2 linked regions of the Arabidopsis thaliana genome follow. The protein of the gene in region 1 interacts with the protein of each later gene in a pairwise test. Each region holds a gene or a part of one and is shown on either strand. Other genes may lie near its edges. The genes, in order: RLP53 and AT1G67860.

Region 1 (8,219 bases):
GAAGATCCTCGACGACAATAAGCTCTCAGGGAAAGTCTTAGAGATGAAGGATTCGTTAGAAAGGGGTCTACGGGTGCTACAAGATAAGCTTCTGTTACTACAACCCGAGAATCAGACCAAGTCCCTGACTCGTTCTGTTTCTAGTTTAGATTATGTGTTCGTTTAATTGTCTGATTAAGAGTTTCTGTTGAATTGTATGTTTTCCTAACTATGAATGCTATTTTCTCAATTCTATTTTTGTCTATGAGTCTTAAATTTGAGTTTGAATATACATTAGACATTGAATGTTAGATGTCCATAATTGATGCAGGTAAGACAACTAATTGAGTAATTGAGCAAGATATTCTGTGAAATTTTCGGTTCAATTTGTGAATGAACTCAATGGAGGAAAGCTTATAGAAGAGGATATGATAATCATATTACCTGACACTTTGATATGTCAGACGCTCTTGTAGCAGCTTCCGTCAAAAGTTGTTGTTAATACTTAATACTAATGTTTTGTCCAAGATGTGGAAAAAAAACTGACTTTGTTCAGTTGTTGGATTTAGATGCCAGTGAGTTCCCAGATTACAATGCCTTAGTGAGTTTTCTTGATAGGTCTTTAGTGTATCCGGAGGACTGAGAGTGAACAGTCTTGTGTCACGCGGTGGATAGATTCTGTGGTTAATCGTAAACTTAAGGATCTTGATGTTAATTAGTGTCATGTGGAGCGTTATTGTTTTAAAGGTGATCCCCTTATAAGTCTTTATATATGTTAGACATTGTTGTACTTAAGACTGCAACAGGTTTTAATGTGTGATATCTAGTCAGTTTCTGAAATTTTTGTCAAGTTCATGCTTATAGAACAAATTGTATATGCCAATTATGAAGCTATACAGTAGCTTAATTATTCCAGAAGGCTAGTGATAATGTTAAGGTTTTAAGTGTACACTTCTCACTCATTATTCATTATTGTTGAATTTAAGGCACAGGGTTTTTGATTGATGCCCATATGCTCACGTATCTGAATTTCGAAGATGATATTATAGAGAGTAAAATCATAAGCATACAAGTTCTTTAGCCAAGTTTAATGTAGTTGCCTTAATCTGGTATTGTTTTGCTCTTGTTGGCTTACTGATGCAAACTTTGATCCGTAAATCTTCACCGGATTCTCGAGAGTTAATTAGCCCTTGGCATACTGCAGTCTGCAGAGGTCTATGTCTTAATTACCAAATTCATAGTTATATATAAAATGTTGTTTTCATTATATTTTAGATTCTTATTGAGAGTACCTCTACCAAAACATGAAAACAGAACTACTAGCGGAATTTTGCAACTTTACATGTCTTCAAGTGACGTTTTGTCTATCCTACCTTGAAATGCTACACAGACTTCTTGAGAGCTTTCAGAATCTAAAATAACTCGTCATAGTGGTGGTGACTTGCACAAACCCCTAGAGTTTAACATAAGAAACATGTTGTTTTTCTTTCTTCTATACTTTGTGTGTGTGTGTTTTCTATAACATGATTTTGTATATGACCACAGAAACTAGTATATATGGTTGTTTTTTTTGAACTCACTTCCATCGTTCTACTTCTTCGCCGTAAAAAGGTTTGGTTTTAACTATCACATGAAACTTACATTGCCATTAAACTAAAAGCTTTATATCACTCCAAATGTACTTATGGTTCACTTATTCACAAGCAAAATGAAAGGTATTAACTAGACATTTGAGAGTTCTTAGACAAAACAAATTAAACCATAAATGCAGATCTTTGTATATGAGCTTCATTTCTCTCATACCTCCTTCTCTGTTGTTATCTTTGGACACCCTAGGATTGTGCCTATAAGAAAGCACCAAATTCCAAACATAAGAGTTGTTTACATTTTTAAAAATTTCAGCGGTTTAATCACCGAAACAGATTTTCGATTGCTTCTGGGTGCTGTGTGCGAAAACGAAAGATCAAAGAGATATTTCACAAATTTCGGTATCAATTACGGACCTATATTCAAAAGTTTGTTCACGTAATTTATTCTAATGTTTGCTAACTAATTCGTTTTAAGAGTCAGAACATTACCTCTCTAGTGAGTTGTTTTGTGTCTTTTCTGTCTACGATTGTTTCGGTCAAAAGGGTTCATGAACCACTCTGGTTTATAGGAAACGAGTATGTATCCAAACATCAAACCAAAGGCAATACCAGGTCCGAATCCTATTGCAGCTGCTATCCAACTAATCAGATCTTCGTCTTCTTCCTCTGTTTCCGGCGTTTCAAACTGTTGATGTGATGCTGGCGTGTGAATATCTCTGCAAACTTCTTCAAGAGAAGAGCCGAAAAGTCCCAAGTTATCTTCAAAGGCAGAGCAATTTTGCGTTAGAAATTGCTGGCCTCCTGGTACTAGGCCTGCAAGCTGGTTATGAGAGAAGTTCATATACGCAAGGAACGAAAGGTCCCCTAGCTCTTGTGGAATCTCTCCTGTAAGCTTGTTCTTAGAAACGTCCAATGACTCGAGAGCTGTCAGGTTCCCCATAGATGAAGGCATGTGGCCACTGAAAGCATTGTTTGACAAGCTGAGCACGAGAAGCTCTTTCAATAGACCAATGGACTTTGGAATCTCTCCTTCAAATCTGTTTCCGGAAAAGTCGACTGCTGTGTAGATTGTGAGGATACGTACCAGCTCCATCGCTACACCTTTATTCATCAAAACCATTGAATCTTGGTAGTAAAGGCCTGATCCCATGTACTTTTCGTTAGACTGGTCTTCGTTTTTTCCAAGTGATGACATAGCACTCCACTTCACAAAGTACTCTGTTGGCAAAGTTCCATTGAAGCGATTATGTGATATATCGATGATGCGCAACTCAGGGAATGTGGCTTCATGTATTGGTCCATGGAATGCATTGGAGCGTAATACAAGAACTTGTAGCTTCGGTAGAGAACTCAACCAGAAGGGAAACGTGTCGTTGATTCTGTTGCTTTCCACGTTCAAAACTTCAAGAGTAGAGAAAAAACTCAAAGATCTTGGTAGCTTTCCCACTAGCTGGTTATGGCCGACATCAAGAGACCTCAGTATTTCAAATATTTGCTTTGGAAGACCTCCGCTAAGATGATTCTGACGAAGGTTTAGAACTGAAAGAGTACTCTTGAGATGTCCCATGCAACGAGGGATTGAACCATTAAAGTTGTTGTCAGATAAATCGAGTGTGTTTAGAGAACGCAACCCGCATATGAAAGAAGGAATCTTGCCTATGAAGTTATTGTTGGAGCCAAGCAAGTACAGCAGAGATGGTTCAGGTTTCGATGGTCTTTGGAAACCGATTAAAGTGTTGTTGGAAAGATTCACGTAGTACAAGATTGGTAGCCTCCATAACCAGTCAGGAACTTGACCTTTGATTTTGTTGTTGGAAATGTCTAGAAACCCCAATTCGTGTTGGGTTCTTACGAACTCTGGAAATTCAGTGATACCGCACCCTGACAAGTACAAAGATTGTATCAATTGCGAAGGAGGATCTGAAACTGAACTTTTGTTTGTGGCCGAAACATGGTTGCCTGAGAGATCCAATAAAAGGAGCCTTTTGAAATATGATAAGAAATAGTTCAAGTCGATCCTAGTGGTGGTGTTCAAATGGGATATGTTTAGATCTAGGAGTGACTTGAGATGGGAGAAGATACTAAAGTCAACTGGGCCTTGGGTGTTTAAATGGGAAATGTCAAGTCGGAAAAGTTTGACTAATTTGGAAATGGAACTAGGGATTGGTCCTATGAAGTTGTTGTTGCCAATGTCTAACTCATATAGGTTAGATGGTGAAGATATATTTCCAAACTCAAGAGTGCCTTTGAGTTGGTTACCATTCAAACGAATGTAAGTCAAAGAAGGAATGGTGAAGAGAAAAGAAGGGAACGTTCCGGTGAAGGCGTTGTCACTTGCATCAAAATCCATCAAGTTGGATAGTGAAGTGATATTAGGAGGAAGCGTGCCTGTGAACTTATTGTTGGAGAGTGATAAAAGTGACAACCCTGTCAAGTTCAGTAGGACATTGGGAAAGTTTCCGCTGAGCTTATTGTCATCAACATATAAGCGGGTCAGCTGGTTTAGATTGCCAAAAGAAGATGGGATTTCACCAACGAAATTGTTACTAAAGAGGCCGAGAAAGGTAAGTTGAGAAAGGTTTCCAATAAAAGATGGAATCTGACCCGAAAAATTGTTATTAGAAAGGTCGAGAGTGGTGAGATTAGAAAGATTTCCAATTGAAGATGGAATCTGACCCGAAAATTTGTTACTGAAAAGGCTGAGAGTGGTGAGATGAGAAAGACCTCCGATAGAAGACGGAAACTGACCAAAAAACCGATTATAAGAAAGATCTAGAAAAGTGAGATGAGAAAGATTACAAATTGATGATGGAGCCTGACCCGAAAATTGATTATCAAAAAGGTTGAGATAGGTGAGACGAGAAAGGTTTCCGATTGAATTCAGAATCTGACCCGAAAAATGATTAGAAGAAAGGTCGAGATAGGTGAGATGAGAAAGATTTTCAATTGATGACGTGATTTGACCTTTAAAATCATTAAATGAAAGGTCTAGAGTGGTTAGGAAATGAAGGTTTCGAATACTGCTGTTGGAATGAAACCGGCCATGGAGAGAGCTGCAGCTTAGGTCTAGCTCGATCACTTCCCCGGACTTGGCATTGCACGTGACTCCCTCCCAATTACAACAGTCGCTGTTATTCCCCCATGAGTCCGTCTTCCGAGGAGATTCAATGCCATAAATCTTACAATGATCAGGAGAAGGCTTCCCAATCTCAAACTCGTTTTTGAACGCGAGGAGTGCATCCCTTTGTTCGGGACGACACAAGTTCCTAGTTGGAGCCGCAAGCACGTCCAGAAAATGACAAATGAATAAGAAAATAAAAGAGAGAGTAATACGAATGATACTCTTTGAGTTCCAAAAGCCTTCCATCATTCTTAAGCTAATTTAATTTTCTTGAATATTGATAGTGAAAAAGCAAAAAAATAAAATCTGGAAATTGTGATGGTACGTAACATGTTTTCATGCCCATCTCTTTATATACAAAAATAATAGACTCTATTCCACAAAGATAATTCCAACACAGCTTGACCCTCCGAGGCGTTTTTCACGTTAAACGCAACGACTTAAAAAGTCTTTACGTTGAATAATGTCCATTTCCACTCCTTTTGTCTTACTTTTTAGTTACGTACAGGGAACATGAAAAAAAAACGTTGTATTTTGTCCAGCCAAATTAAATTGATCGTGGAAAATGAATTCTGCAGGTAAGCAATGACTTGTTCATTGTTACTAGTGCTAGTGAATAGTGATGATCGACAGCGTCAAGAGTCAATCCCCATCGATGTATTAATTTTGCGCAAAAAAAACAACTGGGCTAGGGCCCAACAATGAAGGCGGATAAAAGAAAACGAAGGCCCATTTTACCATATGTCAGCGAACTCGGAAGAGTATAAATATTCCTCTTTGTGTTTACTTAAAACTAAAATTTGGGACTATTTTATAAAAAACTAATAAGGCCGCCTAAATAGGCGGGTGTGTGATTTAGATGTAAATCTTTATTGACAGTATTCAAATGTTGAATAATAAAATAGTAATTTATATTTTTTTTGACAATTAATTTAATATTTTTTTATTTAACAAAATTTGATGCTTATACATTCTCTTTTATCATACATTTTAATTCTACACATTCAAGCTTATTGATGATATTTGAATTCTAAATAATAACCTACAAATTTCTATCTTACACATTCAATTTTGCAATACAATTTAAGTATCTATTTCATCATAATATACTCGATTTTCATTCTAAACACTTCATCTTAAGTGAATTTTTTTTTATTAAAAAAATATATTTATATCAGATCTAATATATATCTTTGTTGATATTAAAAAAATAATAAACAGTAAACAAAACTTAACAAAAAAAAAATCCACAAAAATATTTGAAAAGCAAAACTTTTTAAAATGTTTCTTTATATATGGCGTAATTTTCTCTTATGTAAACTTATTTTAAATGAGTTAAAATTAATTAAAAAATATACTAACTTCTTTTTAAGTAATTGAAAAGTAAATCATATAAGTTGTTCTCTCCAAAAATCTTGTGTTTTAACTTATGACTACATGCGTTAAATTTTTTACAATAAAACATAGTTATAAGCTTTTAGTGACATATCAAAGGATCCAAGTTGCTCAATCACCGAATACGTTAAAATTCTTAGAATAAATCTTAAATATTTAAAAATTTATTATAATAAGGTCACTAAATTTTAAAAATATTTTTGTGTTCAAAATTTAACAAATGAAAACACTATATTACAATGATAAACACAATTTTATCCAATTAAATTAATTTTAAATAAATTATATTGTTATTTTAAACTTAAGTGGTCTTTTTAATTAGTTATTATTCATACTTAATGATTTTTCTTTTAAATTAATACATGATTATTTATTTAATTGACCAATAATATATGTGTTTTCAAATTTGTTAATTTTCTTTTTTGTTAAGAAAAATAAAGTTTAAATATTGTTAGATATATATAAATTAATATATGTAAATTTTTCTTTTTAAGGTTTTTTATTTTTTTAAGAGAATTAAAAAGTTAAATCTTTAATGACACATGTAAACATCTCAATGTTAGATTTGACACGTGCCACAATCTTATGAGGTAGTAATTTTGAAAACTGTACTTTATATAATAAGAAATTAATATATGTAAATTTTTCTTTTTAAGGTTTTCTATTTTTTTAAGAAAATTAAAAAGTTAAATCTTTAATGACACATATAAACTTCTCATTATTAGACTTGACACGTGCCACAATCTTATGAGTTAGTAACTTTAAAAACTATACTTTATATAATAAGATACTGGATGTGGGAAATCGTATCTAAGATCGTATCTACAACGGTTACATTGATATTGGTAAAGGAAAATCGTATCTAATTAAGATTTATCTCATAGACAGCAAACAAAAAGGGAATTTCATTACTTAAATATCACAACGGTTAGATTAATAGAAGTAAATCATCATCATTTAACGAAGAAAAGATACTCTAAAGAAAAAGGAAATAAAACCCACAGCTCAATTTGTCTCTCTTGGTTTAGTAAAATCAATATCAAATATTATATGGAAATACAAGAATTTCACAATTCTATATAACCCTGAACCGTGTGTTAGTTACACTAAGTTTATTTTCTAGGTTTCTCTCTGATAAGAAACTAGGTATCTTCTTCTTCTTTTTCTGTGGGTAAACAACAACAATGGATTCTTCAATGTCGACGAAGAAGAAAACCAAATTGTCTGTGAGAAACCAAACTTGTTTCAAGAAATCGTCCCTGTCTTCTTCTTCTACTGCAAAAAAGACCACGAATTTGTCTATGAGAGAACAGACCATGTTCAAGAAAGCCTTGGAGCTTTCAACTCTGTGCAACATCGATGTCTGTGTCATATACTATGGTCGTGACGGAAAACTCATCAAGACATGGCCGGAGGATCAATCAAAAGTTCGAGACATGGCTGAGAGGTTTAGCAGATTACACGAGAGAGAGCGATGCAAGAAAAGAACCAACCTTTCTCTGTTTCTACGTAAGAAGATCCTCGACGACACTAAATTGTCGGAGAAAGTCTTAGAGATGGAGGATTCGTTAGAAAGTGGTCTACGAGTACTACAAGATAAGCTTCTGTTACTCCAACCCGAGAAAAACCAGACCGAGTTTGGTCAGACCCGTGCGGTTTCTTCCACAACGAATCCATTGTCTCCTCCTCCTTCGCTAATTGAGGATCATCGTCATCAACAATGGACAGAACCATTGATGAGTGGTGTGTCAAACACAGAGCAAGACCTATCGACGTCATCATTGAGTCAAAATCAGAGCAGAATTTCAGTCTTTCTCTATAACCATGACAACCGTAGCTTCTATCAAGTCCCTGACTCAGTTTCTAGCTTTGACCAATCGGCTTTACTTGGGGAACAAGGATCTGGTCTAGGAAGTAACTTTGATCTTCCTCCCATGGTTTTTCCTCCTCAGATGCAGACACAAACCCCACTTGTCCCCTTTGATCAGTTTGCGGCATGGAATCAAGCACCGTCGTTTGCAGATCCAATGATGTTCCCTTATAATTAGTTCTTGTTGTTCCAAAAACTGATCTTTGACTTGGTGTACGTTTTATAATGATCTATTATATATGTATTCTTCATTTAGATTATGAGT
Region 2 (5,483 bases), on another chromosome or scaffold:
AATGTTTTCTAGTTTCTATTTTGGGAAACTCAGATTCTGTTGTGTCCACTTTGTGGGTTTTGTAAGGTTTTTTATAACGAATAAATGTGCTTTTGATAGCTGTGCTCTGATAGTATGTGGTTCATGTTAACAACTGGATTATACACCAGTTTTCTTGTAATTCACAACCAAAATAAAAGTAGATGTGACAATTAGAAGAACAGTGTTACATCTTTTGCATATATAACAGAATCTCTACTAACTGAAACTTAGATAATACAGTTGTTAAATTTTCTGTGCTTTAGATTGATGAAATTCTCTGCTTCTTTATCAACATCTTCATCTTTTGCTTTCTTCTCACTCTTCACCTTCCTCATATGATGTGATGACGTCTTCATCACGTCATGACTCAAGTCTTCGTACTCCATAACTTGATGATTAGGTTTCTCTGCCATCGAATTCATGTGATGATGATGGGTATGGTGACGATGATGATGAGTTTTATGCTGAAGGAAGGTCTCAGGCACCATTGTTTCTATTGAAATTCTTGTTTGATATCTTCTTATTACTCAGTACGCATTTAAATTAATCATCAGAGGGATTATATCTACGCATGTTTAGTATTGGAGTCTTAAGGATTACGTTGAATCCGATACCTTTTATTCCTTTAGATTATTCCAGGTTTGGCCAATGTTCATTGGACCATTAAATATATTGACGCATATGTGACATGTCTATTGTTGTATTTAGAGGATAGTTGGCTAAAGGTATATATGCCCATGAACAAACAGAAAACGGTAAACGAGAGTCACTGATGGTTATTCGATCGAACTAGATACCTTTAACAATGGATGATATGGCGTGTTTTGACTACAACTTTAGTAAAGAAAGTAGGAAAATATGTGTGTATAAGTTCAATGTAAGGCTAATTATCTCCGTTGTGGAATGGTCTCTTCAATCGTTATGATAGAAATTGCATCTTGCTTGGAGAGATAACTTGTGGTTTTGCCTTGATGAGGATTCGTCATGTTGACCTAGGACCACTAAAAAATATCGAAGATATTCTCCTTCATATGATAAGAAGGATTCAAGAGATTATGATATATAGTAAAACTTTTATAAACTAATACTGGACAAATAAAAAAAAAATGTTATAAATTATTTATATTTTCTAGTTTCGAGTAGGAGTAATATAAAAACTAATACAATTCGATAAGATAGAAAAATAATTATTTTTTGAAAATTTTAATGTAAATCTAAGTTTCTAATAATATAATAATAATTTTATAAACTGCACATATATAACAAAAATAAATACATGATTTTAGTGTTATTTGTATTTTTTTAAAAAAATTACTGATATTACATACTTTTTGGTGTTATGTTTTCGAATTTTAACATATATTAATTTTATTGAGCAATGTGAGAGATAATATATTTAGTGTATATAAGAGGAAGACAACTAAATAACCAGTTGTTGTGAAAACCTATATAGTTGTGATCCACATGAAAATTCCAATACAAGTCTACGCACAAACCCATCTTTTCTAGTTAACGTAATTAGTTTTCTTTGTTCCTTAACTCACTTGTACTTATGTTATTTTAACAAGTAGATTCATGTAATGAACATTAAAGCATGTAACTTGAGGGTTTTTTTCCCTTGTCTTCATCGTGAAACAACATATCTTAATCCAATCATTTTCGTAAATAGTCTTTTCGTTTTCTCTTTCTATATATATAGTTCAATGAGATATAATATACTTCCTAAATATTCATTTCAAATTTTGTCGATAAATATATATTAAAGTCAATTTATATACCGATCTAATATATATTTCTTATGTAATATGATAAATGATTTATTAACTTAAACAAGAACGCTGACAAAAAAAAAAAAAAACTTAAACAAGAACATTTATTTTCATTAAAAGTCCGTCACACAAATACATGATACATCTTACACATTTATTATATGGGGAGTACATAATCGTTACTTTCTTATTTGAACCGTCAGAATATTTGGGTAGTCTAGAGTCCTCTACTCCCTGTCTTTCTGGCGGCGACGGCGGCCGTTCTCCTTAGCCTTCACTGCTGCTGCACCGCCGTTACGGCTAAGGTTGGTCGGGAGCTTCTTTTTGTGCTCCTCGCAGTCGGTACGAGTGCAGCTCTGGTAACTATCGGGGCATATTCCGATCCCTCTGGCGAACCCATCCACCGTTCCAATAATCGCTCCGGCAATCCCTCCGACAATCCCTCCAATAAGCGTATCAAGCATTTTTATATATTAATTCTGTTGTTTTTCTTTGATATGAATAAGAGCTTACAATCTTTCAGATGTTTGTATATATTTATACAATTCTCGTAGTGTTCACTTAAGTTTGTTTGTTATGGCAATTATTCGTCATATGATATCCATGATATGATAAGAATCTTATTCTTTTTTTTTTACCACCACCATACGTAAAATTGAATAGACATGTTTGTTCTTATTCCGTTCGTCTTAAAAAATTCAACGATCACAAAAATTCGTGAAGTAGATGGAAAGAAAGTGGAAAACAAGATAACTATGGACATACACGACCCGTCTTACTTGTCACTCAAATGGTCCTTCAATCGCTATGATGGAAATTGCATCTAATGCTTGCAAAGTTTGAAGACTCTCCAAGTGGAAGTGGACTTAAAGTTTCCCCTTGTTGAAGATTCAGGTCGTTGTTCTAGGCCAGAAAATAAAGCCTTATAAAAGTGTAATAATCTAACTATTCAACTTAGACTCCATAACGCTGTAAATTGCAAGAAAACATTTCTATTAGTATTAAGTTCAAGAATTAGTCTAGACTTTGGATTTAGGAAGACTCTGATTATTGGAAAAAAAAAAAACATTGCTTGTGTAAGGTTCGTTTGATTTTTGAGATAAAAGTGTAGACAACTCTATCAATGACATTCATGGAATTCTTCAAGAAATTCGACAGCTTCAAGGTTGTTTCCGTTCTATCTCCTTTAGTTATATTTCTCGTCTTTCCAATTCAAAAGGCAGACGCTGTCGCCAAATATGCTATCTGTGTTTGTGTTTCCCTCAAGAACATTGCATAACTGAAAAGGCTAATCGAATCAACAAAAAATCCTATGATCCGTCTAATTTAGTAAATGAATTACTTGTTTGAATCAAATCTATGAGCTTAAAGTTTTGGTCGATAAATGCAAAATAAATTATCTAATTATTTAGATGAACCAGAAACATTAAAACGACATATCCTACTGCACTACGTAACTTATAAATTCATTAGGGTTTTCGTTACACCATAACGTTACTTTTCAAACTTAATTGTGTGCAAATAAATTCAATCTTTTCACGTGTGGAAATAACTGTTAATATACATCACTTTTATTAAACACACTCCTTTTATTAATCATAAAGTTCATAAAATTAAACAAGAAGACTTTTCATTAAAAGTCTCCTATATTTTTGGTAAGATACTGAAACATGTCCATCTTATACATACATCGTATACATTTATTATTTTGGATACATAATCATTACTGGGTGTGGTCAGGAGTCCTTTACTCCCTGTCTTTCTGGCGGCGGCCGCCGGAGTTCTCGGATGCCTTCACTGCACCGCCATTACCATTGCCGTAGTTTCCCGGACTCGTCATATTGTTGTTCTCGAAGCGACCGGTGCTCTGATAATTATTGGGCCATATCCCGACCCCTTTGGCAAACCCATCGACCGTTCCAAGAATCCCTCCGGTAATCCCTCCGGCAACCCCAATAATAAGCTTATCAAGCATTTTTCTTTATATTTATCTACTTGTGTTAGTTTTCTTTGATATGGATAAGTGTTTTAATCTTTCAGATGTTTTCTATATATAGAAAAAATTTCTTGTATATAGTTCCCTTTTTTATGATCTGAATCTTATTCTCTTAGTACCATCACTACCGAAAGTTGAATAGATATGTTTGTTCTAATTCCGTTCGTCGTTTTTAATAATGATCACATGGGAAAGATCCAAACTAAGGAGGTTTCTGTCTACGGACACGTTTTCTTTAAAAAATCAGACCCTATAGACCCTCAAAAATAGATGTTGTATGTGTATCAACTAATGTTTAGTCCAAAAAGGCATGTTTTGACAGCAATACTAGTAACGAACATTAGAAAAGATGTGTGGATAAGTTTAGTGTAAGGCCCATCTCCTTCGTGGAATGGTCTCTTCAATCGTTATGATGGAAATTGCATCTAATGCTTGCAAAGTTTGAAGAGTCTCTCTTAACCAAGTGATAGCGGATTCTCATTGTTGGTCTAGTCCATGAAAAGAATTTCCTTAAACGTGGAATTATCTAACTATCCCGCTTAGCCACTCGTCGACGCTTTCAGTGGCAATAAAACTCATATTAATACTTGGCTCAGGAATTAGTTTGGACTTCGGTCGACAAAGACCTAGTCCCGATTATTAAAAAAAAAACGTTAATGACAGTGTAAAGTTTATTTTAAAAAACAGATTTCTATGAGGTAAAAGAAGAAAATGTTATTCCCTTTGGAGATTATTCGAAATATCATCGTACGATCATATGAATCTTATTCTCTTTTCTACCACGAAAGTTGAATAGTCATGTTTGTTCTAATTCCGTTCGTCTTTTAAATTAAAGATCAGTCCTATTCATATGGGAACATTTCGGAATTGGCTGAGTATTAATGGAAGCATAATAATGAAACTGGAAATTAAACCTAGTCTAGTTCTATTTATTACGGATTTTATTTGATTTTATATTAAATTTGTTTGAGTTAAAATTTTCATTCATTTTTGGATTTCGACGAAGCGTTGTGTAACTTTTTTTTTTTTTTTTTTGTTCTTTGCTAATAGCCACGTAACGTGCATGACATGAGTAAGCCGGCCACGTTAGCGAAAAGTGGGAAGTAACACAAGAAGTCTAAAGACCATGGGATATTCAATGGTGAGGGTTAAAAAATACCGAGATTAAGTAGGAAGAAGATGAGGAAAGAAGACTTGTGTTAGAATATTGGAGACAAACCAATGATCCTTAGACGAAGCAAAGAAGAGAACCTCCAAGAGAAGTAACGGTGATTGTGGTGACCGTAGGGATTACTTTCAGCTTTGGTAACCATAAGTAAAATGATGATAAATTCAATTTGGATAGAAAAATACACCACTTAAGTAGCATCCCACATCAATCCACGAAACTGAAAAGATCAAAACATTTGCTATTAAAGGAACTATTCCAAAAATTTAGTGAAACGTGCCTAACATAACACATATACAACCGATAATCCGATATGTACTTTGAAAATCGGAGGAAGCCCACCAAATATACCAGAAAGTTGGCTAGATCTCATCAAGTAAATGCAAGATGGTTGTCACCATGATGATGGTGTTAGAAATCATAAAATATGTAAATATTTTTAACATGTTCATCCATCAGTTGAGCCACGGTCAATCTGGGTCGATCCTGACAGCCCTATAACTCGGAAGATAGCTTGGTTCGCTGTCCA

The links.
Region 2: the proteins of RLP53 (region 1) and AT1G67860 interact in a protein complementation assay, tested with the Arabidopsis thaliana proteins (one large-scale study listed by BioGRID).

What each region holds. Positions count from the first base shown.
Region 1 is NC_003076.8:9,520,473-9,528,691, forward strand, and holds RLP53 (receptor like protein 53), read right to left. Parts: upstream 5,007-8,219; 5' UTR 4,939-5,006; coding exon 2,062-4,938; 3' UTR 2,058-2,061; intron 1,824-2,057; 3' UTR 1,506-1,823; downstream 1-1,505. Other genes in the region: AGL101 (AGAMOUS-like 101), read left to right, coding at 1-166; AT5G27065 (uncharacterized protein), read left to right, coding at 3,857-4,132, 4,195-4,230; AGL53 (AGAMOUS-like 53), read left to right, coding at 7,269-8,132.
Region 2 is NC_003070.9:25,442,923-25,448,405, forward strand, and holds AT1G67860 (uncharacterized protein), read right to left. Parts: upstream 2,436-5,483; 5' UTR 2,255-2,435; coding exon 2,018-2,254; 3' UTR 1,830-2,017; downstream 1-1,829. Other genes in the region: AT1G67865 (uncharacterized protein), read right to left, coding at 3,538-3,765.